Anolis sagrei: one gene and its partners. The protein of the gene in region 1 interacts with the protein of each later gene in a pairwise test. Links are inferred from orthologs where the notes say so. Each region holds a gene or a part of one and is shown in the gene's direction. Other genes may lie near its edges.

The links.
Region 2: the proteins of TK1 (region 1) and RBM48 interact in a two-hybrid assay, tested with the Homo sapiens proteins (2 studies listed by BioGRID and IntAct). The link is inferred for Anolis sagrei from reciprocal best matches to the Homo sapiens genes TK1 and RBM48.
Region 3: the proteins of TK1 (region 1) and GAPDH interact in a two-hybrid assay, tested with the Homo sapiens proteins (2 studies listed by BioGRID and IntAct). The link is inferred for Anolis sagrei from reciprocal best matches to the Homo sapiens genes TK1 and GAPDH.
Region 4: the proteins of TK1 (region 1) and ERG28 interact in a two-hybrid assay, tested with the Homo sapiens proteins (2 studies listed by BioGRID and IntAct). The link is inferred for Anolis sagrei from reciprocal best matches to the Homo sapiens genes TK1 and ERG28.

Annotation. Positions count from the first base shown.
Region 1 is NC_090022.1:128,418,847-128,426,310, reverse strand, and holds the start of TK1 (thymidine kinase, cytosolic), read left to right. Parts: upstream 1-4,458; 5' UTR 4,459-4,590; coding exon 4,591-4,656; intron 4,657-4,941; coding exon 4,942-4,973; intron 4,974-7,237; coding exon 7,238-7,351; intron 7,352-7,464. UniProt on the Homo sapiens protein: Cell-cycle-regulated enzyme of importance in nucleotide metabolism. Catalyzes the first enzymatic step in the salvage pathway converting thymidine into thymidine monophosphate.
Region 2 is NC_090026.1:102,564,790-102,572,289, reverse strand, and holds the start of RBM48 (RNA-binding protein 48), read left to right. Parts: upstream 1-4,497; 5' UTR 4,498-4,526; coding exon 4,527-4,646; intron 4,647-7,500. Other genes in the region: peroxisomal ATPase PEX1, read right to left, coding at 795-938, 4,043-4,162. UniProt on the Homo sapiens protein: As a component of the minor spliceosome, involved in the splicing of U12-type introns in pre-mRNAs.
Region 3 is NC_090022.1:197,266,917-197,273,927, forward strand, and holds the start of GAPDH (glyceraldehyde-3-phosphate dehydrogenase), read left to right. Parts: upstream 1-3,994; 5' UTR 3,995-4,101; intron 4,102-5,459; 5' UTR 5,460-5,482; coding exon 5,483-5,505; intron 5,506-5,967; exon of another isoform or gene 5,968-6,230; intron 6,231-7,011. UniProt on the Homo sapiens protein: Has both glyceraldehyde-3-phosphate dehydrogenase and nitrosylase activities, thereby playing a role in glycolysis and nuclear functions, respectively.
Region 4 is NC_090021.1:305,424,178-305,431,995, reverse strand, and holds the start of ERG28 (ergosterol biosynthetic protein 28 homolog), read left to right. Parts: upstream 1-4,811; 5' UTR 4,812-4,899; intron 4,900-6,250; 5' UTR 6,251-6,265; coding exon 6,266-6,398; intron 6,399-7,818.

The DNA of each region.
Region 1 (7,464 bases):
TGGATGCTGTTAAGATGGTCCAGGAACCCGTTTGAGTTCTTCTTCTCTATGGCTCCAAATGGTGAAGGTGTCATCCACATATCTGAACCATATCGTGGGCTTTTTGGTTGCTGTCTCCAGGGCTTGTTTTTCAAAGTGTTCCATGTAGAAGTTAGCTATGACCGGGCTGAGAGGGCTCCCTATAGCTACTCCATCTTTCTGTTCGTAGAATTCATTGTCCCACTGAAAGTAACTGGTGGTGAGGCAATGGTGAAACAGAGCCGTGATGTCTTTTGGGAACCTCTGGTTTGTTTGTTAACCAATGTAATTGTGAATCCAATGTAGTTGCATAGAATCTGTATGTCTGTATGTCCAATGTCATTCTTTGTCTAAATGTTTTCTGTAATCTTATATACCTTCACACACTGGAAATTGCACTAAAAAGAACCTATGCTTTAAAATCATTGAAAAGTCATTCATGATATATGTAATTTTAGATTTTATTTAGTCTCACTCTTATTGATGATAGTTTTCATAAAGTGTTTGCAGTTTTGAGCAGAAGATCCTCATCCTTATTGATTACAGGCTAATGATAAATAGAAGTGGGTTCATCCGAACCAGGAAAAACTTGGAAAGCTGTGCAAGTTAATTAACAGTTTTCATAGAATCATAGAATCATAGAATCAAAGAGTTGGAGGAGACCTCAGGGGCCATCCAGTCCAACCCCCTGCCAAGAAGCAGGTATATTGCATTCAAATCACCCCTGACAGATGGCCATCCAGCCTCTGCTTAAAAGCCTCCAAAGAAGGAGCCTCCACCACACTCCGGGGCAGAGAGTTCCACTGCTGAACGGCTCTCACAGTCAGGAAGTTCTTCCTCATGTTCAGATGGAATCTCCTTTCTTGTAGTTTGAAGCCATTGTTCCACGTCCTAGTCTCCAGGGAAGCAGAAAACAAGCTTGCTCCCTCCTCCCTGTGGCTTCCTCTCACATATTTATACATGGCTATCATATCCCCCTTTATTTGGTTTCTAAACAGGAATGCAACTGGCCACCAATTAAAAGGATGCAAAGCTTATGAAAAAAATTGCAATTGGACTATTAATTGGAACAGTAAATATATGTATTGTTTGTGTTTTATAGTTTTTAAGGAGTGCAATAATAATAATAATAATAATAATAATAATACATGACTGGTAAAGAACAATTGCTCTAACACAAATGAAAGCAATATATGGTATAAAGTGTAAGATTTATTGTATAAAGGGTATAGAAAAAATAAGGATGAAATGATGTTTTGAATCAGATCAACCAAGTGATAGAAGGAAAGACACAGAATACAACGGATGAAGAATATTGAGCTTCAAATAGAGAAGTACAGCTTTGGTACATGGGATTACTGCCGGATTGCAATTAAGTATATTTGACCAGCTGAATCATTCCTTGGTTGCTTTAATGAAAGCTAAAAATGAAACCTTACAACAAATAAGTAAGTCTATGAGTTGTTTGACTATGGAAATAAATTTGAGAGATTGGAGAGAAAAATGTTGATGTTAATAATGGGAGGACACTCAGAAGCCTTCCTAGAATTAACAAAATTACATTATTGGTTAAGAACAGATTATAAAGGATGGAGTAAGCTTGTCAAATATTCTTGGGAAGATGATATACTAAGATTGAAACTGGAAACCTTGGGAAAAATGGTCAATATTTGAAAAAAATTTGGTTTGTGATATAGTTCCTATGCCTATGCATGTGGGAAAATGGTTCTGGGTTCCATATTTGTTATCCAAGAAAACCATATGCACAAGGTCCAAATATACAAATTTGAATGAAATAATTGATATTGATAGATGCAATAAATGGGATATGTATGTCCTTTAACAGTAAAACAAGTTGAACCATGTGCATTGGAAATGGCAGATGCAATCTGCAGGTTACAAAAGCTAAAGCCCAAAACAATGGTATATGACAATGGAATGTAATGCCTATGTGCTATATCACCTAATGATTTATATTGGTGGAAACACAGAACACCACTGGTATGATATCTTCATAGGATACATTTAATAGTATGGATAGGGATACTTATATTGCTGCCAATCATTTGGATCTTATGGCCTCTTAGACAAATGACAGGATTGACAAATCGATTATCTATATTTGAAAACAAGTTAACGTGTTTAGAAACACATTTATGAACTATGATGTTTGATTAATCATACAAGTTCAATATTAACCTAAACATATGTACTCTACACTTAATCAAGTTTGATTATAAGTATAACCAACACTGAATTGCTTATCATGTATGGATCATGTATGTGATACGATAAATTAGCATTTATGTATCAAGGGGAGGAATATGTGAGGAATGAATGTTTGAATGCATGGAAAAGAGAAGAAACAGGCCTGAAGAAAAACCAACATGGAGTTCTCGCAAGGCATGATATGGGATGAACTTGGCAGTCGAAGCGAGGAGGCAGCAAGGCATAACTGAACAACAATGGACAATGAGGTATGCGGCCGAGCATGTAAGGAGTGCAGGAGGTACCCCATAAGTCATGAGGCCTGGAATGCTAATGTCTTGAACTTTGGAGAGAACAAAGACATATTGTCCTTTAGTAAGAGGACAGAGCAACCTGCTGTTGAAATGAAGAAAAATGGATTTTGGCCTATAAATGCAGGGGACCCCTGACAATCTCCATGCTTCCTGAACTGCAGCAATGGAGTGTCCACGCTTCCTCAGAAAAGACTGATCATCTTTGCCGGAGAAGGCCTGTGTGTGCATGAGTATGAATGAATGTGTGTGTGCACGAGAGCTCTCCTTGATGTATTTTCCCATCATCATGAAGATGTGTGATAAGTTCACCACAAGTGCGGTTCCCACTTCGTGGCAATTGGTGGTGATTACAAGAATGCTGGGGTATCATAAAAATGTTATAACTAGATATTGATCTTGCTTCAGCTTCTGTATGATCAGCTTTCGCAAAAAAAAAAATAATGGAGGAGTGAAGGGGCTAACAGAACTCAGAAATGTTGAAATTCTAAAATGCAAACCTAGAGAGGGGTTTGTGCCTCTCCTCTGGCCTGCAGAAGACCAAAAGCTAAGAGGAGATAATGAATCTGGAAGACACAAGATACTGTATTGTCAAGTTCGCCTAGAGAGTACTCAGGGTGGGTTAACACCCAAAATGCTTATCTGTAACAATAATGTGTGTGTTTACGTAGTTTGTAGAAGGTTAGCAGTGAAAGACACTGAAGTGGCAAAATATGAGAAAAACATGTTTTTGAATGGTTGATCCGATAAGAGAGGTGTGTGCCCATGACACAGTGAAAAGACATGTATATAAGGAGACTGAAATATCCAAATATCAGAGACAGCTCTCTTTGAAGACACTGGTCTGTCTGGGCTGTTTCTCCCTGTGTGGCCACACTTGAAATAAAGAGATTTTCTGCTTTACCTCTGGAGACTAGACTCTCTTCATTTTGCTGCCCTCTGTGACGGACTCAGCAAGGACCCCAAGCAGGGGGTCCCCTACATGAATATTTCAGCTGACCACCTTTATTAGCATTTAATGGCTTGGAAGTGCCTGGGGGGAATCTTTTGTTGAGAGTGATTTGATGTGCCTGGTTGTTTACTCTCTGCTGTTTTGCTGTTGTAATTTTTGAGTTTTTTAATACTGGTAGCCAGATTTTGTTCATTTTCATGGTTTCTTCCTTTCTGTTGAAATTGTCCACATGCTTGTGGATTTCAATGGCTTATCTGTGTAGTCTGTGTAGCACTTCCAAGCCATTCAATGCCAATCAAGTTGAAACATTCAGTTGAAACATTCACACCTAGCTCCAGCAGACAAAAGTCCTTTGTCCCACCCTGGTCTTTCCACAGATATATAAACCCAGTTTAGTATTTTCAACAGACCTCACTACCTCTGAGGATGCTTGCCATAGATGCAGGCGAAACGTCAGGAGAAAATGCCTCTAGAACATGGCCATATAATCCGGAAAAACCTACAACAACCCAGTGATTCCGGCCATGAAAGCCTTCGACAATACATTTTAGGCTTTGAACCCACTTTAATATTTTTTTTCGTGTGAGGAGCGACTTGAGAAACTGCAAACCACTTTAACTACTAAGGAATAGTGTGATTTGTAGTTTGGCAGGAAAGGCTAAGGCCTTGGAAAACTACAGCTCCCAGGATTCCATGGTATTGAGCCGGGGGTCAAGCTGTTTCATTCTATGAAGATGAAAGTCTCCGCAAACAAAGGAGAAAATGACGTTTTGATAAGACCAAAGAGTTTCAAAAGACTAGTTCCGGAAGTGTGTGTGTATGCCTCTTCCCCAATCAGCAAAACATGAGAGGAGGAAGACTTCCCTCTTTAGCTTCTGGAGGCGAAGGCGGTCAACCACTTCGAATGTAGTTTTTTCCCGCCTGGCCTGTGATTGGCCAGGACGCGCCGAAGTGTCTTTCGAGCGCCAGTTTGGTGCCAGGGCCCGTTCTGATTGGTCCATTGTCAGCGCCGGCTATAAAAGAGGGCAAAAACGGCGCGCTGAAAGGAGAGGCTGTTGATTCAAGCGTCTGTGCCTTGAAACACCGGCGGGATTTGGGAAGATGAACTGCTTGATGATGCCAGGGGTGCAGCCGGGGTCGCCTCGCAAGGCCCGGGGCCAGATCCAGGTAGGAAAAGGAGATATTTCTGGGGAGGGCAGGGGGGTCAATGAGAGTTTGGGATGCAGGGTCTGCAATTATGGGTCAGGGGCTTTATAGACAATGGAGTGGGGAAATTGTGTCCTTTATATAACGTTGGGAAAATCAAGGCATCCTTTTTTTGTGACTGGTTTTATATTTTCAAGCCGTGGATGGGGAAATCAGTGGATACAGAAACCGTGGATAAGGAGGACCAACTAATACACGAACGGGGTAAAATTCAACACGGTTTTTTTCTCTCTTTCCCCACTTTAGGTCATCTTTGGACCCATGTTCTCCGGGAAAAGGTATGTTAGAGAGATGAAATGAACATGTATCTGAACACAACTGTGACTTGGGTTCTGGTTTCATTACATGTTCAAGTACTATCAATTACATTTACTAGTGTTCTCATGATAATCCCTCAGGCTGGATCTACACTGCCATCTAATGCAGTTTGGAATTTCATTGCATGGTCAATATATACCAGGCATGGGCAAACTTTGACCCTCCAGGTGTTTTGGACTTCAACTCCCACAATTCCTAACAGCCAGTAGGCTGTTAGGAATTGTGGGAGTTGAAGTCCAAACTACCTGGAGGGTCAAAGTTTGCCCATGCCTAGTATAGACCCAAATAATGTGGTTTAACTACATTAAACTGCATTGTATGGTTCTATTCTGATCATATAATGTAGATCCAGCCTCAGTGAGCTTTAACTGTGAATTCCTGCACAGCAGAAGTTGGACTAGATAGTTCTTGCCTGCACTTTCATAAAATGCCACAGAAGGTGGTAAAGTCCAGGTTTTTTGGATTACAGCTCCCTATATTCCTGATAGGAGCATTGGGAATGGAAGTTCAAACTGTTGTCGAAGGCTTTCATGGACGGAATCACTGGGTTGCTGTGAGTTTTCTAGCCACGTTCCAGAAGCATACTCTTCTGATGTTTCACCTGCATTTATGGCAAGCACCCTCATTGGTTGTAAGGTCTGTTGGAAATTTGGCAAGTGGGGTTTATATATCTAGAATAATGTTCAGAGTTGGAGAAAGAACGCCTGTCTGTTGGAGGCAAGTGTGAATGTTGCAATTGGCTACCTTGATTTGCACTGAATGGCCTTTCAGCTTCAAAGCCTGGCTGCTTACTGCCTGGGGGAGCCTTTGTTGGGAGGTGTTAGCTGGAATTCCTGCCTGGTATTCCCCTGCTTTGTAGGTGTTGCTCTTTATTTGCTGTCCTGATTTTAGAGTTTTTTTAAAAATTTTCATAGTTTCCTCCACTCTAACGACCACCATGTCAGGCTACACAGAGAAGCTGCTGAAATTCAGTAACAGGTGGACAATTTCAACAGAAAGGAGGAAACCATGCAAATGAAAAAAAAATCTGGCTAACTATACTTAAAAACTCCAAAATCAGGGCAGTAGATAAAGAAGAACACTAACAAAAGAGGGGAATTCCAGATAAGATTCAATCAGGGTGAGGTAACACCTCCAAGTGAGGCAAGTGTGAATGTTGCAATTGGCCACCTTGATTAGCATTACATAGCCTTGCAGCCTCAAGGCCTGGCAGGAAGCAGCCTTGAGGCTGCAATGCTATTTAATGCTAATCAAGGTGGCCAATTGCAATATTCACACTTGCGCAAGCAGACAAGGGTTCTTTCTCCCACCCGGGACATTATTCTGCAGATATATAAACCCCACTTGCCTAGTTTCCAACAGACTTCACAACTTCTGAGAATGCCTGTCATAGATGTGGGTGAAATGTCAGGAGAGAATGCTTCTGGAACATGGCCGTATGGCCAGGAAAACTCACAGCAACCCAGAAGTTCAAACTATTTGGAGGAAACTGATATGGGAAAGGCAAGTCTATAAACTGGCTGTGATATAGAAACCTAGGCAAAAAGGAACCAAAGCATATCTTGATGGATTATATATTTGTTAAGATATGTGCCAGAGTGTGTTTTGAGCCACACTTGGTGGCATCTTTGTTCCCAGGAAGGTCAGCCATGACTCTACTTTTATTTCACTGGCTATGCACTTTCTTTCCTGTAATGCAGGGACAGGTAACTGGTGTCCTTTATATTTGGTTATTTTGGACTAAAACTCCCCAAATTCCTTACTGCTGGGTAGGCTGATGGAAACTGTAAGGAAAGGGGGGAAACCAGAAAATAGCAATAATTGCCTATCTTTCTTATAAAGCTGGGATTGGACTGTGTGCCTGGACTCACATGTTCAGAGTCCAGGCACAGGTAAACTTGGGCCTTCCAGGTGTTTTGGACCAACTTCCACAATTCTTAAAGGCTGTTAGGCTGTTAGGAATTGTGGGAGTTGAAGTCCAAAACACCTGGAGGGCCCAAGTTTGCCCATGCCTTGTCCAGACCTATAATGTTGCTGTTTCTCTGATGGTAAAATTGTAAGGAATGCCGTTAATCAAAGGGCCTGGCAGGGAGATCGATTTGGGGAGATAGCAGGCATTATGGGTTTTTTGAGGCAGGGTGATCAAAGTCACTAGTTTTGTGCTTCAGTCCTCCTCCTCTGGGTGCTAAGTACTCCTGAGTAGCCTCCCTTCTTGTTTTTGCAGTACCGAACTCATGCGCAGAGTCCGACGTTTCCAGATTGCGCAGTACAAGTGCCTGTTGATCAAGTACGCGAAGGACATGCGCTACAGTGTCAATGGAGTTTCCACGCATGACAGGTGAGGCGCTAAAGGCATTGTATATACAGTTCACCTTAACAGAAAGAAAATTCAAATGTAATTCTTTTTGCTTGATCAAAAAACAACCGTGGGTACAAAATACATGTATGTTG
Region 2 (7,500 bases), on another chromosome or scaffold:
AGAAAGAGGGAAGATTGGCCACAGCAACACGTGGTGGGTCAAGGTTGTTATTTCTATTATTATTATTATTATGCTATTGTTCCTCTGAGACCCTTTTAGGGGGAATGGGAGAGGTGTCAGGTCCCGGAGGCAATGCATTGCATTATTGTTATTGTTATGATGGTGGTGAAATAAAAGGAAATAAAAAGTGAAAGAAGGAAGCAAACAGGGAGGGAAGAAAGGCAAAGGAAGAAAGGGGGAGGGAATGAAGGAAAGAGAGAAGGATGAAACCAAGTAGTGAAAGAAGGAAAGAAAGAAAGAGGTAGAGAAGGAAGAAAGGAGAGAAAGGGGGAGGAAAAGGGGGAAGGAATAGGTAGGGACCTCTCTTTCATAATAGTCCAGATATCTACCTCAACTTTGATAAGTTTTACTATAGGCCACAGCAACGCGTGGCAGGGCACAGCTAGTGTACCTATAAAGGTGAGGAGAGGGGAATGTAGTCACTTTTGCTCATATAGGGCAAACACTCCCCCTGCTGGTTAGACACCTCTGACTTCTTCCTGGTAGAAACTGAATTAGTACACAATCACATAGTAATAGAACAAGCGCTACAATGAATGGCATAGTTCTGTACATTTCCTTAGATGGGATACACAATGTCCTTAAAAGGGAATTTCCACTAGGAGGCAAATGGGCGGTAACATTTAAAATTAACAAAATCCACATGCAATGGCACAATCAGGATTCTAAATCACAACAACAACAACAACAACAACAACAACAATTTTATTCTTGTAATATTCTAAATTTCAAACCTGTTGTCCATCTTTGATGCCAAGTTTCTCTGCTAGCTGTCTGTTTATTTCAACAATGTTGCCACTACACTGACGACAATGCCTGATTTCTGTCCAGCCCAGGAACACAGTCTGATTGTCCCAGGAAGTTTTCACAGCTTGATCCTGTTAATTCCATTTAAAATGAGAGAAAGGAGAGGGAGTAACAGCATGCATCACTCATTATTCTTTGTCTGACATCAACAAGTGGCTACAGATACAGTACTTTTGTAACTTGAGTCTATGAATGCTTATCGTAAGGGCATTAGCCTCCTAGCTCCACGCTCAGATTGTCACACTTTCCCTTGGCTCTATGTAGGAATTTGTTGCACTTAGGAATCATTAGTCCGAACCCATCATTTGTTGTTCAGCCATGATGTTGTTTGATTATGATGTTTTTATTTGTTTTTGCTGTTGTTGATGATTATATTTATATGCTTGTTCTAACCTGTTTTGGTGGGCATGTCCCCTTGTGCACTGCCTCGAGTCCCTTCAGGGCGATGGAGTTATTACTTTTATTATTATTATTATTATTATTATTATTATTATCTATAGAGTATTAACATTTCCCAGATGTTAATGTTTCAGAAGAGTTTCTGCTTCCTTGTTTTCTCTGAACCTTTTCCTTGCAGATTCTTTCTGTCAAAAAGATCCCCCATAAGTGTTTTCTTTGCTGTTTTAATTGTGATATTTTACTTGTATATTGCTTTCCCAGATGCAGCGTAACAGGCAAATATGGAACTATGGAATGACTTGACGATGGGACTGGAAAATGACTTTAGTAAGAAGATGCTGATGATTTATGTTTTTATTGCTTTTATATGGTTTTTATATTATATGCTAAATGTTTTTAACTGTATTTTACGTCTGGTGGGGCATCGAATTATTGCCGACTGCAAACCGCCTTGAGTCACTTTCGGGCTGAGAAGGGCAGTATACAAATCATAGAATCATAAAGTCACAGTGTTGGAAGAGACCTCGTGGGTCATCCAGCCCAACCCCCTGCCAAGAAGCAGGAAAATAGCATTCAAAGAACCCCCGACAGATGGCCATCCAGCCTGTTTAAAAGCCTCCAAAGAAGAAACCACCATGACACTCCGGGGCAGAGAGTTCCACTGCTGAACAGCTTTCACCGTAAATAAATAAATAAATAAATGAGACAGTGAAACGCTGCCCCTCTTTTCTCACTCTCATGCAGTCCATAGGCACCAAGGGACATTTTTAAATTCTTCCAGTCTCTAAAATTTTAGGGATCATAAACTACTATTGGTTAGTTTGGTTGCAACAGTGCACTTGAAACTTTGTTGTGGGATTGGGAGCAGAAAACCATCTCACTTCATGATCCTTTGTTTTGGACTAAGAGGAGGGCGACTAAAATTATCAAGGGTCTAAAGAACAAACCCTATGAGGAGTGGCTTAAAGAGCTGGGCATGTTTAGCCTTCAGAAGAGAAGGCTAAGAGGTGACATGATGACCATGTATAAATAAGTGAGGGAAGTCATAGGGAGGAGGGAGCAAGCTTGTTTTCCGCTGTCCTGTAGACTAGGATGTGGAACAATGGCGGAAAGGAGATTCCACCTGAACATTAGGAAGACCTTTCTGACTGTGAGAGCTGTTCAGCAGTGGAACTCTCTGCCCCAGAGTGTGGTGGAGGCACCTTCTTTGAAGACTTTCAAGCAGAGACTGGATAGCCATCTGTTGGGGGGCAGGGGGGTGGACTGGGTGGCCCATGAGGTCTCTTCCAACTCTATGATTCTATGACTTTACACTGAAATAATAACAATATTATAGAACTAGTGTGGCCTGTTTTTGGAAATGTTAGAGAATTGCATTGCTCTGTGCAGTACTGTCATGAATGACTTTTCAATAACTTTGAAGCATAGGTTCTTTTTATTGCAATTTCCAGTGTAAGAAGGTATATCAGATTACAGAAAAACATTTAGACAAAGAATGACATTAGACATACAGATTCTATGCAACTACATTGGATTCATAACTACATGGCTAACAAACAAAGGGAATTACATTTTCACTCAGCATTCACACCACATGCACACACATTCATCCTCATGCACCCAAATATTACCATATAATTTTCTCCCTCCTTGGAGAAGCACCTGTTAGGCCAGACCCTGCTTTCCTGCAGCCTGCCAATACATAGTTCCATAACCGCATTGAGTCGCCGATTTAGGCTGAAAAATGCGGTATAAAAATAAAGCAAATAAATAATAAATAACACCAAAACGTCTTTTCCTAAGAACAATGCCAAGAACCAGATCTCTGTTTTCAATACAGCAGAACCTGCCTCCCTGCACAAAACCTAAGACTCCAAAAGCACACTTCTTCCTCTTCCCTTGAGAAAGAAGCCCCAAAGTGACCAGACTGCTCCCGTTCAAATCTGCCACTATCCATTGGTTCACTATCTCTCTCCTTCCCATGGAGCAGAGCACAGCGGGTGAACCAGATTCGTCAGGTTGGTCACAATTTGATCATTATTAGACTGAGTCTTTTGTAGGAATATTCTGTTGATGTAGTCCCAAAGTTGTAAATTAATGATAGATGTCTTCCATCCTGGATCCATCTCAGTTTCCTGGCCAGATGTTGACTCTTCTTGATTGGCGATGGCAACCACAGGGCTTGTGTTGAATTCCTTCTTAACATAAGGAAGATTGCAAACATTTCCTTTATCAATGTCCCAGTTCTTATCAGGGTTTCTCACTAGCAAGTCCAGCAAGCAAGTAGTTAGTCATTGCAGGCCTGGGTCTTTTACTGGTATTTCCAAAATTATTAACTCCATACATCCTTCCATTCATTCCCACACATCATATTAAATTCATATTTGTCAAATCTGCACATTGAATTTCTTATGACAGTACAACTAGTAAAGCATGAACGTAGAATACTCTTAAGGCGGGCCTGGGCCAACTTGGGCCCTTGGGGTTAGCGGCTGAGGGGGGAAAGGAAAGGGCCTGAGGCTGTTAGGAATGGTGGGAGTTGAAGTCCAAAACACCCAAGGGCCCAAGTTGGCCCAAGCCTGCTAAAGAGTTGCTATAAATAGGAAACCAAAGCTCACTACGAGGAGGCAAGGACCACGGCTAGGCCTTTCCTGTTGCCAGGCAACGAGATGCCAGGCTAGGAAGGAGGCTGCCCAAAAGAGAGGCCCGGATGTCACCTCAGGGACACGGAAAGCGAAGTCCCGGATGCAGCCTCCCCGTCCCTGCCCTCCTGTACCTGCTGCAGACGGAGGCTGGAAGCCAAGCCAGGCGGCAGGTGCAGGAAGCAGTCCCGGGCGCCGCTCAAGGAGACAGTGGCGGCGGCGGCGGCCACCCCAGGCCCGCCCGCCCCCCACATGGCGGCCTCCAAGGCGGGCTGGGTGTCACACGAGTGGGCCGCCGAGCTCCTCTTCCGGCTTCTCCGCTCAGGCCAATGACATCCAGAGGACTCCTTCCAGCCCGTCGCTTGTGATTGGCTTTGCTCCGCTCCGGGGGAGGAGCCAATGAAAGCGGGCCATCCGATTGGTGGTCTGTGACAGAATGATGTTTACAACTTGCCTCCCGTTCCTCGCTTGTGATTGGCTGGGGCGCTTCACCCCCCCATCTAATCCTTTCCTCCAATACCGCTCGCCTCTGGGGCGGGATCAACGCAAGCTCATCACTGGATTGGTTGTTGTTGACGGGCGGAAGAAGCCGGAGCATGAGCGGGTCGGAGGGAAAAAATGGCGACTGAGAAGAGCAGAGGCGGTGAAGTCGGGGGCGCCCACCAGCACCACGCGCAGCTGGGCATCTGCGCTTCGCGGGCCAAGTATCGCGAGGGGCGCCGTCCCCGCGCTGTGAAGGTGAAACGCCATCCATTCTACGCGCAGCACAGCCACACCGAAGCATTGGAGCGGTTTGGCACCGCTTTCGTTGGCATGGCTCAAGGCGATGGGATCATGGGAGTTGTAGTTGGCACTAGAATTGAATTTTATCTCTCACACAAGACTACAAACCCCAGAATTCTGTAGCACTAAGCCATGGGGGTTAAAGCGGTGTCAAACTGTTATATCTCTGCAGTATGCTTGCGCCCCTAATTTCTAAATGTAGTGTTTACTAATCCCTGGCCTTCCCAAGTTAGAATCATAGAGTTGGAAGAGGCCTCCTGGGCCATCCAGTCCAACCCCCTGCCAAGAAGCAGGAATATTGCATTCAAAGCACCCCCGACAGATGGCCATCTAGCCTCTGTTTAAAAGCTTCCAAAGAAGGAGCCTCCACCACACTCTGGGGCAGAGAGTTCCACTGCTGAACGGCTCTCACAGTCAGGAAGTTCTTCCTCATGTTCAGATGGAATCTCCTTTCTTGTAGCTTGAAGCCATTGTTCCGCGTCCTAGTCTCCAGGGCAGCAGAAAACAAGTTCGCTTCCTCCTCCCTATGACTTCATCTCACATATTTATACATGGCTATCATGTCTCCTCTCAGCCTTCTCTTCTTAAGGCTAAACATGCCCAGCTCTTTAAGCCACTCCTCATAGGGCTTGTTCTCCAGAACCTTGATCATTTTAGTCGCCCTCCTCTGGACACATTCCAGGTTGTTAATATCTCTCTTCAATATCTCCCAGAACTGGACACAGTGTTCCAGATGTTGTCTGACCAAGGGAGAATAGCATTACTTCACTGGATCTAGACACTATAGGAAAGGGCCTGAGGCTTTAGGAACTGTGGGAGTTGGACTCCAAAATACCCACAGGGCCAAAGTTTGCCCAGGTCTTCTAAAGAGTTGCTATAAGTGGGAAACGAAAGGTCACTACGAGAAGGCAAGGATAACTGCTAGGCCCTTCCTGTTGCCATGGCAACAAGATGCCAGGCTAGGAAGGAGGCTGCCCAAAAGTTTGCCCATGCCTGGTCTTAGGTCTGGGTATGAATCATGTCCACCGTCTTCACCTTAGCATTAGGATTCAGTGCTATCTGTGTTTTGGTGACTAGCTGTGAGCTGTATCACACTATATGATATTTATTGTTGAAAGTTTTCATGGGTGGAATCACTGGGTTGTTGTTGGTTTTTTCCGGCTATATGGCCATGTTCTAGAAGCATTCCCTCCTGATGTTTCGCCTGCATCTATGGCAAGCATCCTCAGAGGTTGTGAGGTCTGTTGGAACTAGGATATTTATTTATCATATCAAAAGCAAACCGAGGGTACAGCTGTAATGTAATTAAAAAAACAACAGAAGAGTTAAAAAACTTGGCATTATACTGTTAGAGACCCTAATTTGGGACTTAATACTAAGGTCTAGGCCACGGGAGGCGCAAGGAAAGAGGCAGTCCCAGGAGGAAGATCAAAAGCAAAGTTTTATTCTTTCATGATCATGAAGGAGTCGGACAGTCGTGTAGGACACGCGCAGGCGCCCACACTTCATAAGGACTGCCGCGCCTCCTTGACAAAAGCAAAGCTTTTATATAGTCTGGTAAACAAGAGTATTTTTGTCATGGAAAGTTACCCGGTGGCGCAGTGGGTTAAACCCCTGTGCCGGCAGGACTGAAGACCGACAGGTCGCAGGTTCGAATCCAGGGAGAGGCAGATGAGCTCCCTCTGTCGGCTCCAGCTCCTCATGCAGGGACATGAGAGAAGCCTCCCACAAGGAGGATAAAAACATCAAATCATCTGGGCGTCCCCTGGGCAACGTCCTTGCAGACGGCCAATTCTCTCACACCAGAAGTGACTTGCAGTTTCTCAAGTCGCTCCTGACATGACAAACAAACAAACAAAAAGGTGTCTTTACTTCTGCTCCTCTTAGTCTCTCTCCTATCAATAGTTCAAAACATAGGTTTGTGCACTTTGCCTGGTTTCCTGTTGTTCTCAAGGTGTTAGGCTGTCAAAACCACAATTTGTTCTCTACTTGCAGACTTCGGTGTCGCGCCAAACCGCAAACCAATTTCCTATATAGCTGAGCATTTAGCAACTTAATAGTTTTCTTATACTTATTCCTCCTTCAATACTAAATGTCCTTTGACCAGTAGCTGGCCACTTGGAGTACCTCTAGTGTTGCTGTAAAAAGATCCTCCTTTGTGCGTGGGGCAGGACTCAGGCTGCATTGTAATACATGGTCTGTGCTTTGCTCTTCTCCGCACTCGCATGTCATGAACTCCACTTTGTAGCCCCATCTCTTAAGGTTGGCTCTGCACCTCGTGCCAGAGCGCAGTCTGTTCAGTGCCTTCCAGGTTGCCTAATCTTCTGTGTGCCCAGGGGTGAAGTCTCTCATTGGGTATCAGCGGAGGCTTGAGATTCTGGATCTTAGCCTGCCACTTTTGGACTCTTGATTGCTGAAGTGTTCCTGCAAGTATCTCTGTAGATCTTAAAAATTTTCCTTGATTTAGCGTTGGCGTGCTAGTTGATATCTGAACAGAGGATGAGCTGGAGATGTCACTGCCTTGGTCCTTTCATTACTGGCTGCTACTTCCCAGCAGATACGAGATGGTAAAGTACCAGCTAAGCAGTGTAATTTCTCCAGCAGTTCTGGGTGTAGGCGTCCTGTGATAATGCAGCACGTTTCATTAAGAGCCACATCTACTGTTTTAACGTGGTGTGATATATTCCACACTGGGCATGCATATTCAGCAGCAAAGCACAAGGCCATGAGACATGGGAGAAGCCTCCCCGCAGGATTGGGTTTCATAGGGTATAAGTATTACAATTAAAGTGTAATCTTGGTGCTAAAT
Region 3 (7,011 bases), about 69 Mb from region 1:
AACTACCACTATTCACTGGGTTGCTGTAGGTTTTTTTCGGGCTCTATGGCCATGTTCTAGAGGCATTCTCTCCTGACGTTTTGCCTGCATCTATGGCAAGCATCCTATGCTTGCGAAATGCCTATTATGCTTGAAATTTCTCTCTGAGTGATACGACGATCGTCCTGAATCAATCTGTCAACCTTTTGCTTGGGAAACTCAGTGGTTGCTGTCACAGGACGTCCAACTCTTTGTTTGTCACTCAAGTCAGATGTTCCCACCTCAACATCTTTAAACTTATTCACCGAACGACGTACAGTACTCACATCAATACAATCACCATAAACAGCTTGCAATCTCCTTTGGGGTGATACCTATGCTGTCAATAATTCAATGACTGCACATTGACTGACCGTCTGCACAGGGTTCCATACTTCAAGAGTCCAAAAGTGGCAGGCTAAAACCCGAAACCTCAATCAGTGGCAGAAACTGAATCAGAAACTCCCCCCCCCCCCCCCGGGCATACAGTAGACTGGGCGACTTGAAAGGCACTGAGCAGGCTGTGCTCTGGCACTACGAAATGCAAAGCCAGTCTTAAGAAATGGGGCTACAAAGTGGAGTCCACAACATGCGCGTGTGGAGAAAAGCAAACATTCTACAATGCAGCCTGAGCACTGCCACATACACATTGCAGGACCTTCTTACAGCAACACCAGAGGCACTCCGAGTGGCCAGCTTCTGGTCAAAAGAAATCTAGTATGATATCAAGTTTTTAACTTTGTTTGTATTTTGTTTAATACATTATAACTGTATCCTCAATTCGCTTCTGACACAATAAATAGATAGCAGAGTTAATAGAGCAGGTCAAGAGAACTACTTCCAACCTCACCACCCCCCAAATAATTTCCACTTGTTACCCTGGCAACCGCTGACATCACTCTTGGAGGGATGGGAGGACTTCCCCTTGGTTGAGTTTTTAACAAAAGAAGGGGTTGTGGGAAAAATGCCTGGCCCTCGGCTTCTTTTGCTGATGCTGAAGGCCTCAAAGTGTAAAAGTTTCCTTCAGAAAGTGAAGTGTATTGAAATGTAGCGCCTCTGCATTATATAGCAGTGTGGACCCATTTATTATTGTTATTATGTAGGTATTTATTATTAAGTTATTATGTGTTTATTATTAGCTATATATTTATTATTGTGATTATTACATGTGTATTCTGTTAAAGGTAAAGGTTTCCCCTTGACATTAAATCTAGTTGTGTCTGAGTCTGGGGAGTGTTGCTCATCTCCATTTCTAAGCTGAAGAGTTGGTGTTGTCCATAGATGCCTCTAAGGTCATGTGGTCAGCATGACTGCATGGAGTGTCATTCCCTTCCTGCTGAAATGGTACCTATTGATTTACTCACATTTGCATATTTTCAAACTGCTAGGTTGGCAGACGCTGGGGCTAACAGCGGGAGCTCATCCCATCACTGGATTTGAACTGCTGACCTTTCAGTCATTAAGTTCAGAAGTTCAGCAGTTTGACTGGCTGTACCACCAGGGGTTCCTATGCATTGTGTTATATGTATTATAATAGTGTTGTGTTTCATCTCTCCGTTTTCATCCTGCTGTATCCACAAGGAGAGGCAGGTAACAATATTGTTATACTATGTAACAACATTTGATAAAATGTATCTTCCTGGTTTGAAAGGGTTATTTCCTGTTTAATTGTGCGGTACTTCCTTTAAAGTAGCTGTTATCCTCCAGAAACTGCCACAAACTTGAATTGGTTGAGATTTTATGAGGTATTCGTTGAAAAAACCAGGGCCCCTTCCAGAGAGCTGAATAAATTCCCACATTTTCTGCTTTGAACTGGGATATATGGCAGTGTGGACTCAGGTAACCCAGTTCAAAGTAGATATTGTAGGATTTTCTGCCTTGATATTCTGGGATATAGGGCTGTGTGGAAGGGCCCTGAGTCCACACTCAAATATTGTGGGATTTTCTGCCTGATATTCAGGGTTATAGGGCTGTGTGGAAGGGCCCTAGAGCAAAATGTGATGCAGAGTGTCCCACAAAAACAAAAGTTTTTTGGAGTTTCATAAGCTTTTTCTGTGTTCTTATGATAGAACCAAGTGAAAAATGAAATTTTTAACCCAACAAAAAAAATGTTACATATATAGGCCCTTTCCACACTGTCTTATATTGCAGGATCTGATTCCAGGTTGTCTGCTTTAAACTGGATTAGATGAGTCTCCACTGGCAGATAATCTGGGATAACAAGATAATTTGGGATCAGATCCTGGGATATAGGGGCAGTGTGGAAATGGCTGCCAATTCTCTTGAAAGCTTTGTATCAATTTGTTTTCTTTAACAAGGTCAGATACTTTATCTGATTCTGCCAAACTGAGAAGTTTTTGACAGACTCTGCTTCCCTGGAGACTACGACGTGGAGCAGTGACTTCAAACTACAGGAAAGGAGATTCCACCTGAACATTAGGAAGAACTTCCTAACAGTGAACACTTCCACACAGTCCTATATCCCAGAATAACAAGGCTAAAAATCCCAGAATAACTGCTTTGACCTGGGTTATCTGAGTTCAAACTCAGATAATGTGGGATTTTCTGCTTTGATATTATGAGATACAGGACTGTGTGGAAGGGCCCTGAGAGCACACTCAGATAATGTGGTATTTTCTGCTTTGATATTCTGGGATACAGGGTTGTGTGGAAGAGCCCTCAGAGAGCTGTTCAGCAGTGGAACTCTCTGCCTAGGGGGGTAGTGGCAGCTCTTTCTTTGGAGGTTTTTAAACAGAGGCTGGGTAGCCATCTGTCAGGGGTGCTTTGAATGCGATTTCCCTGCTTCCTTGGTAAGAGGTTGAATTGGATGGCTCCTGAGGTCTCTTCCAACTCTAGGATAATGTGATTCTATGACTCTAACTGGAGCTCCCGGTGGCGTAGTGGGTTAAACCGCTGAGTTGCTGAGCTTGTTGACCAAAAGGTCGCAGGTTCGAATCTGGAGAGCGGCGTGAGCTTTGGGTGTCAGCCCCAACTTCTGCCAGTTTACCTGTTTGAAAATATGCAAATGTGAGTAGATCAATAGGTACCACTCCAGCAGGAAGGTAACAGTGGTCCATGTAGTCATGCCGGCCACATTACCTTGCCTATGGACAACGCCGGCTCTTCGGTGAGTAGATGAATAGGTACCAGCGGGAAGGTAACGGCGCTCCATGTAGTCATACTGGCCACATGACCTTTAGAGGTGTCTATGGACAACCCTGGCTCTTCGGTGCATAGATCAATATGTACCACTCCAGCGGGAAAGTAACGGCGCTCCATGTAGTCATGCTGGCCACATGACCTTTGGAGGTGTCTATGGACAACGCGGCTCTTCAGTGAGTAGATCAATAGGTACCACTCTAGCGGGAAGGTAATGGCACTACATGTAGTCATGCTGGCCACATGACCTTTGGAGTTTTCTATGGACAACACTGGCTCTTTGGTGAGTAGATCAATAGGTACCACTCCAGCGGGAAGGTAACGGCGCTCCATGTAGTCATGCTGGCCACATGACCTTGGAGGTGTCTATGGACAATGCCGGCTATTCAGCTTAGAAATGGAGATGAGCACCAACCTCCAGAGCCAGACATGACTGGACTTAATGTCAGGGGAAAACCTTTACTATTGACTCCAACTTTGTAGACAAAGGGGTGAGCTAAGCCGAGGCGAAGGGCACCTTTCCTTCCTGAGTATCGATAGCCATGGCAATAAGGGGAGTCAGTCCACCCCCATTAGCAGCCTCGGAAAAGGGGCTCCCATGGAGGCCCCCGAAGTGGGAAGTCTGCCTTTCTATAAAGAAACAAAGGGGCGATGTGGGGCGAAAGGGGTGAGCCTGGGAGGGAAGGAGGGAGAAGGGAGGGAGGAGGGCCTTTGGGCCAGGAAAGGGGTGTGGGGTAGGGAAGGCAAGAAGGGGCGGGGAGGAGGCTGGAGCTGTGATTTGGGGCTGCGCCTTCGGGCCCTGATTCGGCAGAGCCGGGCCCCTCCTTTTCCTCAGCCAACTCTATAAAGGCCCCGACCGAGGGCCCCTTTCCTGCTTCACCTCCTCACTGCACCGCAGAGCTGAGTTCGGCCAGGATCCCAAGGGTAAGGCCAAGGGGAGAAGCAGGGAAACCAGAGGGAGGGAGGCCTGGACCCTCCTAGGGATCCCCCCAAAGCCAGGGCTCGCACAGTGATAGGGGTCGGGGTACGGCCTGAGAAGAAAGAGGGGCCCCAAAAGGAGGGCAGGCAGTGCCTAGATTGAGTCAAGAGCGCGAGGACAAAGTTGCAACAAGTTTCAGGCGCCCAGTTGGGGCTGATCGCCTTCCAGGAAGTGAGGCTTCCTTCCTTCCTTCTAGAAGGGGTGGGGTGGGTTCATTTCCCCTCTAGGAGCCTCCGAATAGGGGCGTGGCGGTGGCTGCAAAGTTTCCCCATCTAGAGAGCCCCTCTCTAACTTTAGGGAAAGTTTTATCTTTTGAGCCTCTTCCATACAGCAGAATATAGGGATATAAGGCTGTGGAAGGGCCCAAACTCTTCAAGGGCTCCCTCTCCCCAAAGGCTCTTCCACACAGCCCAATAATTCAGAATATCAAGGCAGGAAATCCCACGTTTTTTTGCTTTGAACTGGAGTATATGGCAGCGTGGACGCAGATAACCAGTTCGATGGAGATCTTATGGGATTTCCTGCCTTGATATTCTGGGATATAGGGCTGTGGGGAAGAGCCTTTGGATAGTCTGGTCCCTTCCACACAGCGCTATATCCATTAATATCAAGGCAGAAAATTCCACAAGATCTGCTTGGACCTGGGTTATCTGAGTCCACACTCAGATAATGTGAGATTTCCTGTGATATTCTGGGTTATAGGGTTATGTAGAAGAGCCTTTGGAAAGAGGAAGCCCTTGGAGAGTTTGGGCCCTTCCACACAGCCCTATATCCATTAATATCAAGGCAGAAAATCCCACAAGATCTGCTTGGAATTGGGTTATCTGAGTCCGCACTCAGATGAGATTTCCTGTGATATTCTGGGTTATAGGGCTGTGTGGAAGAGCCTTTGGGGAGAAAGAGCTCTTGTAGAGTTTGGGCTCTTTCAGACCACCCTATATCCCTGAATATCAAGGCAGAAAATACCACAAGATCTGCTTGAAACTCAGATAATATGGGATTTCCTGTGATATTCTGGGTTCTAGGGCTGTGTGGAAGAGCCTTTGGAGAGAGGGAGCCCTTGGAGGGTTTGGGCCTTTCCACACAGCCCTAATAACCCAGAATATCATGGTAGAAAATCCCATAATATTCGCTTGGAATTGGATTATCTGAGTCCACATTCAGATAATGTGGGATTTTCTGCCTTGATATTCTGGGATATAGGGCTCTGTGGAAGGGCCCTTTGTCTCAAGACTTTAGGGAAACCTCTGTCGGGAATCATCCTTGGTTTGAACCCTTTTCTTCTTTTTTCCCCCTCCTCCAGAATCACCTTTTCCAGAAAGCAAGATGGTGAAAATCGGAGTCAACGGGTGAGTGGGGAAAGGGGAAAGGCAGGCCGACGTGCGGGAGGGCAGCCTGGGCATGGCAGGCAGAAAGGGGCAGGACTTGGGATGGACAGGGGGGAAGCCCCTCCCTCTCTTAGGCCTCTTCGTCTGTCTCTGAGGGGTAGCCCTTGGAGACCTTCCCAGCCAATAGGGAAGCCTCCCTCCCTCCTGTTCTTGGCCGGCAGACAGTGCTGCCTTCTGTCCCTCACAAGGACATCTCAAGGTCACCTCTTGTGTCTCTCCCCCTCTCAAAGGGACCCTGCAGCTGTTTTCTTCCAAGAGAAGTCCCCTTCTTCTCCTTTTGCCCTGTGCAACAGCTGCCCACTTAAACAAACGGTCCACCTTTTAATCCCCATCTTCCTGGCTCCCTCCATTTCCTTTTGCCTACTTCTGGGGCAGGGAAAACACGTGGAGAAGAGCAAAAGGGCTGGTGACTCATTTACTTACTGACTTTCCGGAGCTGGGCTGCTGAGTCACAGCCGGCAGGAAGCAGCCCTAGCCGCAGGGACTTGAGAACTTTTTCTCCTTCCTTCCTTCCCCCATCCCAGAAAGCCTATGGAAAGGTCCACCCAAGAATGTGTGACCTTCTGCTTGCGATGTGCGGGAGACTCAAAGCTGTAACCAGATCAGGCTGCCACATCTCTGGTGCCTGGGAGAGAAGCTAAAGTTAGTGCCTGACCTTTCTGTGGCAGGAGCTGCGGGTGCCAAAGGGAAAGGTTCCCTGAGAGGGTGCTGCGGGAAAGGGAGGGCATGTATCTCAATGCTGCTCCCAGTAACATCGCCTGCAAACACATACACACACACACCGCAAACCACTGGCAGGAGGCATGCTTTGCATGTATGTAGCTCAAGCTTGGCGTCTCCAGGATCTCCGGTTGCAAGGCTGTGAGGCACCTTCAAAGCAACCCTGCGGGGAAGCTTTACAAGCAGATGCACTTGCTGCCAAGAGAAATGTTAACGCTGATCTAGTAGGGGAAATCCAAGCCTTCCCACATGTTGCCTTGCCCCTTAGATCTGGCAGTGGTGAGTTTCGCCTTTCAAAGGAAGGCCTTGAAAGGCCATCAAAAGCATAGTCAGATTTCACTTGTCATGCAAAGAAGCTCTTTGAATTCAGACACAAAACCATCCTCAGAAAAATAGTGCCTAGTCCACCCAAAAACTTTCAATTTCTTGCAATTGTAGGGCTCTGAAAGTGTTGCCATCCTGCAAATGTGAGGGTTTTTAACCTCTTCTCTACCTGCAGTCAGTGATGGCTGGTTTTATGTGAAAGACAGCCTTAGGGCACTTCCACACATCCCTATATCCCAGAATATCAAGGCAGAAAATTCCACAATATCTGCTTTGAACTGGATTATTTAAGGGCCCTTCCACACAGCACTGTACCCCAGAATTATCAAGGTAGAAAATTCCACAATATCTGCTTTGAACTGGATTATCTAAGGGCCCTTCCACACAGCATTGTAACTTGGGGCCCTTCCACACAGCACTGTA
Region 4 (7,818 bases), on another chromosome or scaffold:
AAGATGGATGGATGGCATCCTTGAAGTGACTGGACTGACCTTGAAGGAGCTGGGGGTGGTGACGACCGACAGGGAGCTCTGGCGTGGGCTGGTCCATGAGGTCACGAAGAGTCGGAGACGACTGAACGAATGAACAACAACAACAACAGCAATAGTGACAAACACGCACATGAGAATGTGATCAAAGAGTTTGTCCTACCTAAAGTTAGTTTACATTAATATTTATGACTCTCATTAAAAACAGAAGGCACAGTTTGATTGGTATACAGAAATCAATCATCTCATTGGCCTTAGCTGACAATTATGGAATCTCCTTGGTTCTTCTATCTTTCCAACAGCAGACGCCTATAACAATAGTACAGTTTAAATGTCTGACCCTGAGCTGTGGAGCCACAGGTCAACTTATCTACTTGTTTGGTGTTTCTCTACATGCCTGTGAGAAATTAAGGAGGGAGGGTGTGCAGTATTATCTAGCAACTTGTATCATTGAGCCATGGAAAACATAGACAATAATAACTTCTCTGTATTGTCAAAGGCTTTCATGGCCGAAATCACTAGGTTGTTGTAGGTTTTTTCGGGCTATATGGCCATGTTCTAGAGGCATTCTCTCCTGACATTTCGCCTGCATCTATGGCAAGCATCCTCAGAGGTAGTGAGGTGAGTAATGAGTAGAGGTAGTGAACTTCTCTCTGTGGCAGCATTTTCTAAGCATCAGCAATTTCTGGCAAGCAAGGCCTCTTTGAAAACAAGACACCTGTGAATTGCAATCACTAGAAAATCACATTTTAAAACCATGTCACTCTCAGATATGTATGTATATTGGTGGAGGGAGATGGCGGGAGTGTAGAATGTGTGTTTAATAGTTGCTAGAGCAGGCATGGGCAAACTTGCGCCCTCCAGGTGTTTTGGACTTCAACTCTCACAATTCCTATCATTTCATTTTGATTTAGGCGATCCCTTGTTTTCCGAATAGGATAGTCTCCCATGATCAGTGTACTGGCGGTGGCTCCGTAGGTGACTGTGGAGCCCTATTCTTGATCTGCATCTTCTCCCGCAGTGAGGGTATTGGTTTCCAGGTGGAAGGCGGTCCTGAAGGGGTTGGCTTGACACGCCTTCCTCTTGGGACGCTTCCCTCTTTTGCCCTCCATTCATGCCTCTTCAAATTCTACAGCACTGCTGGTCACAGCTGACTCCAGTTGGAGCGCTCAAGGGCTGGAGCTTCTCAGTTCTCAGTGTCTATGCCAGAATTTTTAAGATTGGCTTTGAGCCCATCTTTAAATTTCTTTTCCTGCCCACCAACATTCCATTTTCTGTTCTTGAGTTCAGAGCAGAGCAACTGCTTTGGGAGATGGTGGTCAGGCATCCGGACAACATGGCCGGTCCAGCAGAGTTGATGGCGGAGGACCATTGCTTCGATGCTGGCAGGGATGTGAGGGCGATCTGGCTGCGACATCTGTCACCCCACTGATCGCCAGGGTTGATTCGGCTGATCTGGCTGGCTAGGCAGGTGTCCCCTTCCTCCCTCACCTCCATGTGCGTCCCTCCCGAAGCTGCGCGCTCGGTGGAAGAGGTCGACGTCCCAGGTATAGTGTACTGAGGTCTCCAGCCTTCGGTCCCGGGTTACAATGCTGGCAGTATTTGCTTCTTCCAACACGATGACATTTGTCCGCTTGTCTTCCCAAGAGATTTGCAGGATTTTCCGGAGGCAGCGCTGATGGAATCGTTCCAAGAGTTGCATGTGACTTCTGTAGACAGTCCATGTCTCGCAGGTGTATAGCAGGGTTGAGAAGACAATAACTTTATAAACAAGCACCTTGGTATCCCTACGGATGTCCCGGCCCTCAAACACTCTCTGCTTCATTCGGAAAAAAACCTGCACTCGCAGAGCTCAGGCGGTGTTGTATTTCAGTGTCAATGTTGACTTTTGTGGAGAGGTGGCTGCCAAGGTAGTGGAAATGATTAACATTTCCTACAGGCTGTTAGGAACTGTGGGAGCTGAAGTCCAAAACACCTGGAGAGACCAAGTGTGGTTATATCAGGCATGGGCAAACTTGGGCCCTCCAGGTGTTTTGGACTTCAACTCCCACAATTCCTACCAGCTCAGTTCTTGTGGGTTTTTTCGGGCTATATGGCCATGTTCTAGAGGCATTTCTCCTGACGTTTCGCCTGCATGTATGGCAAGCATCCTCAGAGGTGAGGTCTGCTGGAACTGGGGAAAAAAGGGGTTTATATATCTGTGGAATGACCAGGGTGAGACACAGGGCTTTTGTAAGTTTGGGCTAGGTGTGAATCTTTCAACTGACCACCTTGATTAGCATACAATGGGCTGACTGTGCCTGGAGCAAACTCTTCTTGAAAGGTGATTAGATGTCCCTGCCTGTTTTTCTCTCTTTTTTGGTGTTGCAATTTTAGAATTTTTTAATACTGGTAGCCTGATTTTGTTCATTTTCATGGTTTCTTCCTTTCTGTTGAAATTGTCCACATGTTTGTGGATTTCAATGGCTTCCCTGTGTAGTCTGGCATGGTGGATGTGAGAGTGGTCCAGCATTTTTGTGTTCTCAAATAATATGCTGTGTCCAGGCTGGTTCATCAGGTGCTCTGCTATAGCTGACTTCTCTGGTTGAAGTAGTCTGCAGTGCCTTTCATGTTCCTTGATGCGTGTCTGGGCGCTGCGTTTGGTGGTCCCTATGTAGACTTGTCCACAGCTGCATGGTATACGGTAGACTCCTGCAGAGGTGAGAGGATCCCTCTTGTCCTTTGCTGAACGTAGCATTTGTTGGATTTTCTTGGTGGGTTTGTATTATTTATTATTTATTTATTTCTTGCATTTATTGACCGCCCCTCTCAGCCCGAAGGCGACTCGGGGCGGTGAACAACAACAAAGAAGACAGTGTACAGTGAGATTTGTAGATTGTTTGTATGTTGTGTTTCCTCATCAGTTTCCCTATGCGGTCAGTGGTTCCCTTGATGTATGGCAGGAACACTTTTCCTACCGGCTGTTAGGAATTGTGGGAGTTGGAGTCCAATATACCTGGAGGGCCCACGTTTGCCCATGCCTGGGTTATACTGTGTTTTGTTTACATAATTTGAAATCTATGTTAAACACTTGATCTATGTTAAATCTATGTTAAACACGTGTTGGATGGGGCCGCACTCCCCCTGAAGATGCAGGTTCGCAGCTTGGGTATGACCCTGGACTCATCGCTGAGCCTGGAACCCCAGGTTTCGGCGGTGACCAGGGGAGCATTTGCACAGCTAAAGCTTGTGCGCCAGCTGCGCCCATACCTTGGGAAGTCTGACTTGGCCACAGTAGTCCACGCTCTGGTTACATCCCGTTTAGACTACTGCAACGCTCTCTACGTGGGGTTGCCTTTGAAGACAGCTCGGAAGCTCCAACTAGTCCAACACTCGGCAGCCATGATTTTAACAGGAGCGGAGCGCAGGGAGCATACAACCCCCCTGTTGCGCCAACTCCACTGGCTACCGATCTGCTACCGGGCTGAATTCAAAGTGCTGGCGTTGGCCTTTAAAGCCCTAAACGGTTCCGGCCCAAGCTACCTATCTGACCGCATCTCTGCCTATGAACCCACCAGGAGTTTGAGATCTTCCGGGGAGACCCTGCTCTCGATCCCGCCTGCTTCTCAAGCTTGGCTGGCGGGGACGAGAGATAGGGCCTTCTCGGTGGTGGCTCCTCGCCTGTGGAACGCCCTTCCTACGGACATTAGACTAGCACCATCTCTAATGGTATTCCGCAAAAAGGTGAAGACCTGGATGTTTGTGCAGGCGTTTGAGTAATTTAGTGCAATCTGGTAATGGAACATAGGAATGGAACAATGGACGACGAACCTGGACTACGCTTGGATGATGAGAAGATTGGGTACGGTTGTTTTTTGTAATAATTGTGCATTGTAATTGCTTATTGGTAATTTATGGATAATGTGTTAAGTCAATTGTTATATGTTGTATGGAACCACTGCTGTTTCTACTGTTTTTACTGTTTGTGAACCGCCGTGAGTCGCCTTCGGGCTTGAGATACAGCGGTATATAATCAAAGTAAATAAATAAATAATAAATAAACACTATAGATACTGAATCTAGCGTGGGGACTTGGGGATTCTGGGAGTTGTAGTCCAACCAAGTCGCTTCCCCCTCCCGCCCGTGTTGCCGTGTCCCTGAGCGGCCTCTCTCTTCTGGGCCAAAGCAGGCTGCTCCCCGTTCCCCCCTCAGGACAGGCCCAGGACCTTTGAGGGAGTAGGAGACACCGCCTGCTGCCCTCCTCCTGGGAGCCTCCCGAGGGTGAGTGCCCACTCTGCCGCTCCTGAAGCCCGTGGCGCCCTTACCTGCGGCTTCATCTCCCTGGAGGGCCCGGCAGCCGCGGCTCCTCTTGCCGGCGCTTCGCTCTGTTACTACAACAACCAACCAGCAACCGCCTTCCTCCCTCCCTCGCTCGCTCCCTCATCGAAGGCGCGTCTGCGCAAGCGCAGGCTCCTCACTCCCGCCCGAGGCGCTTTCCCCAGTTGCGCATGCGCACCTATCCAATCCCCCCTCATTCATTTCCACATGCCTCTTCCAATATGGCGCCGTCCAATATCCTTTTATAACCAGGAAGGGAGGGCAGTGGTGCAATTTGCCTCATCGAACCGCCCCTTCTGTGTTGACGTCACAACGGCCCAATCGCTTTCAAAATATTTGATTGACCTATCCGTTCAGCCATTCGCGTGGCGCGGGGCTAAGACTTGGAGTGGGAGGTGACAACCAATCAGGAGAACGACAACCCTGACAGCGGGCCAATCATTGCGCAGGCAGCGAAGGGGGCGTGGCTACAGCTCCTTGGGTTGGAGGTAGGGTGGAAAGCTTGCTGCCTCTGGGAACCAGGTAGACAACCTGTTAAAGAGCAAGGTAGGCATAGAGGTATTCCTTGATGGGGGGGCTGCATATGGAGGACTGCCCTGTGGATGGGTTGGTGTTATGAAGTTAGGGAACAGGTGGCAGGTAATATTAGAGTTGTCAAGAGAAAATGACATTTGACAAGGATGATGGACATCATGGTCGCTAGGTGTTTCCAGCATGCCAAAATGCAATATCTTTGTATTGGGATGTATTGCAATTTTTTAAAAAGTAAGTTTCCAGTGCATTATTGCTAAATATGCATCCTGTGGGTGCTCCTATATTAAAATTAAAATAGGAGACAGGCTATCAGGAACAGCAAAAAAAAAAAAAATCCACCTGCTTGCCTGATACTTTCCTTTTTTCTTAGTTATCTGGCCTCCCCTGTTATGCACTGAAAAATTGGTGTGTCTACATTATAGAATGAATGCAGTTTAAAACCACTTTAACTTCCATTGCTCAATGCATTGGTATCCTGAAAGGTGTAGTTTGGTTGAGATAACAGCATTCTTTGATAGAGATGAATGAAGACCTCATAAAACTACAACTCCCATGATTCTATAGCATTGAGCCATGAAAGTTAAAGTGCTGTCAAAGTGTATTAAGTCGAGAGAGTAGATGTATCCTACCTGAGTGCAGGGATAAAACAAATGAATTAGCAACATTGATGTGCAACTAGTCCTCTGTGTGCATTTTTGAATGTTGCTTCTGCTACGCCTCCCCCCAAATTAGGTCAGTACAGAAATGGTACCAGAGACAATTCAGTAACTAACCTCATGCCAATATCTCAGTAGATGAGATATAAGGTTTCTGTCTTTCAGCCTCATCACACCAGAGCATGGATCCACCTTAAATCCACCTCCTGCAGAATTCTGGGGTTTGTAGTTTAGTGAGGCCCAGGACGTGTCTGGCTGAACAGTGTAAAGCCCCCCCCCTAAACTACAAGTCCCAGAATTCTGCAGGAGGCAAAAACTGGATTTAAAGTGGATACATGCTCTAGTGTGATGAGGTCCTTTGTCTTTATTATGGAGCATGATCTTTTTAATTAGGTGATCCTTATAGAAAGTGGTGGATGTAACTGTGGTTTTCCCCCTCCAAAGGTCCATTCTGAAGGTGAACATTTGTGGTTCTCCAGATGTTGCTGCAATGCAATTCCCAGCTGTGATAACAACTTAAGCAATTGTAAGGAATGCTGGGAATTGCAGTTCTGCAACATCTGGGGAATTCAATGATTCCCACTCTTGGTCGACTGATCTAGGAGATAAGTATGCAAACATTTGGTGGAGGATAGTTAATGTGACTATGAATTATGATGCAGAGTGGTATCATGAACTCCAGAATCTGCCTTTGTTCCCCTGAGCAGGTTGTGTGATGCAAGATGAGCCGTTTCCTGAATGTGCTCCGTAGCTGGCTAGTTATGGTGTCCATCATTGCCATGGGGAACACAGTGCAAAGCTTCAGAGATCACAGCTTTCTCTCTGAGAAGCTGTACACAGGCAAGCCAAACCTTGGTAAGATATTCAGGAAGGCTATTTTCTTTTTTTCTTTTTTTACACATGGGAAATACTCAACTTTTAGCCTTAAGATCTATATTTTGTTTGAGGTTTGGAAATGCTTGTTCATATATCATATTTTTTTTAATTTTTAAACATTTACTCCTTGAAGTAGCTCACAGTGTTTTTTCTTTAAAAGTTTAAAAGCCTTTAAAGATATTGCAGCAGCTTTCAGATAAATAGGTACGTAATTTAGTAGCTTCCCAGTTAACCAGAAACCACAGGGATTGGCAGCTGCCAGATAAATATAGTTTTTTATTCCTTGAGAATTATTATTCAAAATAGGCCTAACTGATACTATATCCCTAGTTGTGCCAAGCCATACCATAAACTTTGTATTGATTTGATATTAATATTCAAATGCAGAAATTAAAATTAAAACAGTAAAGACAAACTTAACGTAACACAGTTTTAGTATTTTACTATATTATAAAAACAGCTTTTTACATTTGATGTTTTAGTTTTTTGACTTTTTTTTTGCCAGTTGCTTGAGAGTTCCAGTTGCTTGGCTTCAGATTGACTGAGAGACTACTGAAGGCATGGGCAAACTTTCTAACTTGGGGGCCACATGGTGGGCCAGGAGGAAGGGGGTTCTCCCCAAGTCCCCTTCCTGCCCTTTCCTCCCCTTCCTCTTCTCTTTCAAAGGCAGAAAGTGAAGGAAAGACAGGAAACGTTTGGATCCCAAAAGGGTTGGTCTTGGTCAGGATGAGATGGTGGACTGGAGAGAAAAAGTATATACATTCGACCCCGTATTGCCTACTCCTGATATAGAATCCAAGCACTGAAAGAGACCCCCAAGGGCCATCCAGTCCATCCCCCTGCCATGCAGGAAGGCACAATCAAAGCACTCCCAATAGACAACCCTTGTGTAAAAGCCTCCAGAGAAGGAGACTCCACCACACTCAGAGGCAGCCTATGCTACTCTCCAACAGCTCTTACTCTTAGGAAGTTCTTTTCAGTCAAATATCTTTCCCTGCCATTTTAAACCATTGCTCCCTTGTGTCCTGGTCTCTAGAGCAGTAGAAAATCAGTTTTCCCCTCCTCCTCAATCTTGAAACATGGCTCTTGTGTTCTCTCTCTATTATAATAATAAGACTGTATTTATAACCTGCCCTATTTCCCCAAGGGGATTCTACCTTCTCTCCTCTCAGCTAAACATCCCCCAGGAGGAAAGGAGGAAGGAACAAGAAAAGGAAAAAAGATAGGAAGAGAAAGATGGAAGGAAGGGTGGAAGGGAATGGAGGGAAACGGGGGGAGGAGAGAAGGAAAGACAAAAGAGAAAGGAGAAAGGGAGAGAGGGGGGGAGGAAAGAGAGAAGGAAGGAAGGACAAAAGGGTGGAAGGTACTAGGGAGAGGGAGAAAGGGAAGGGAGGGAGGA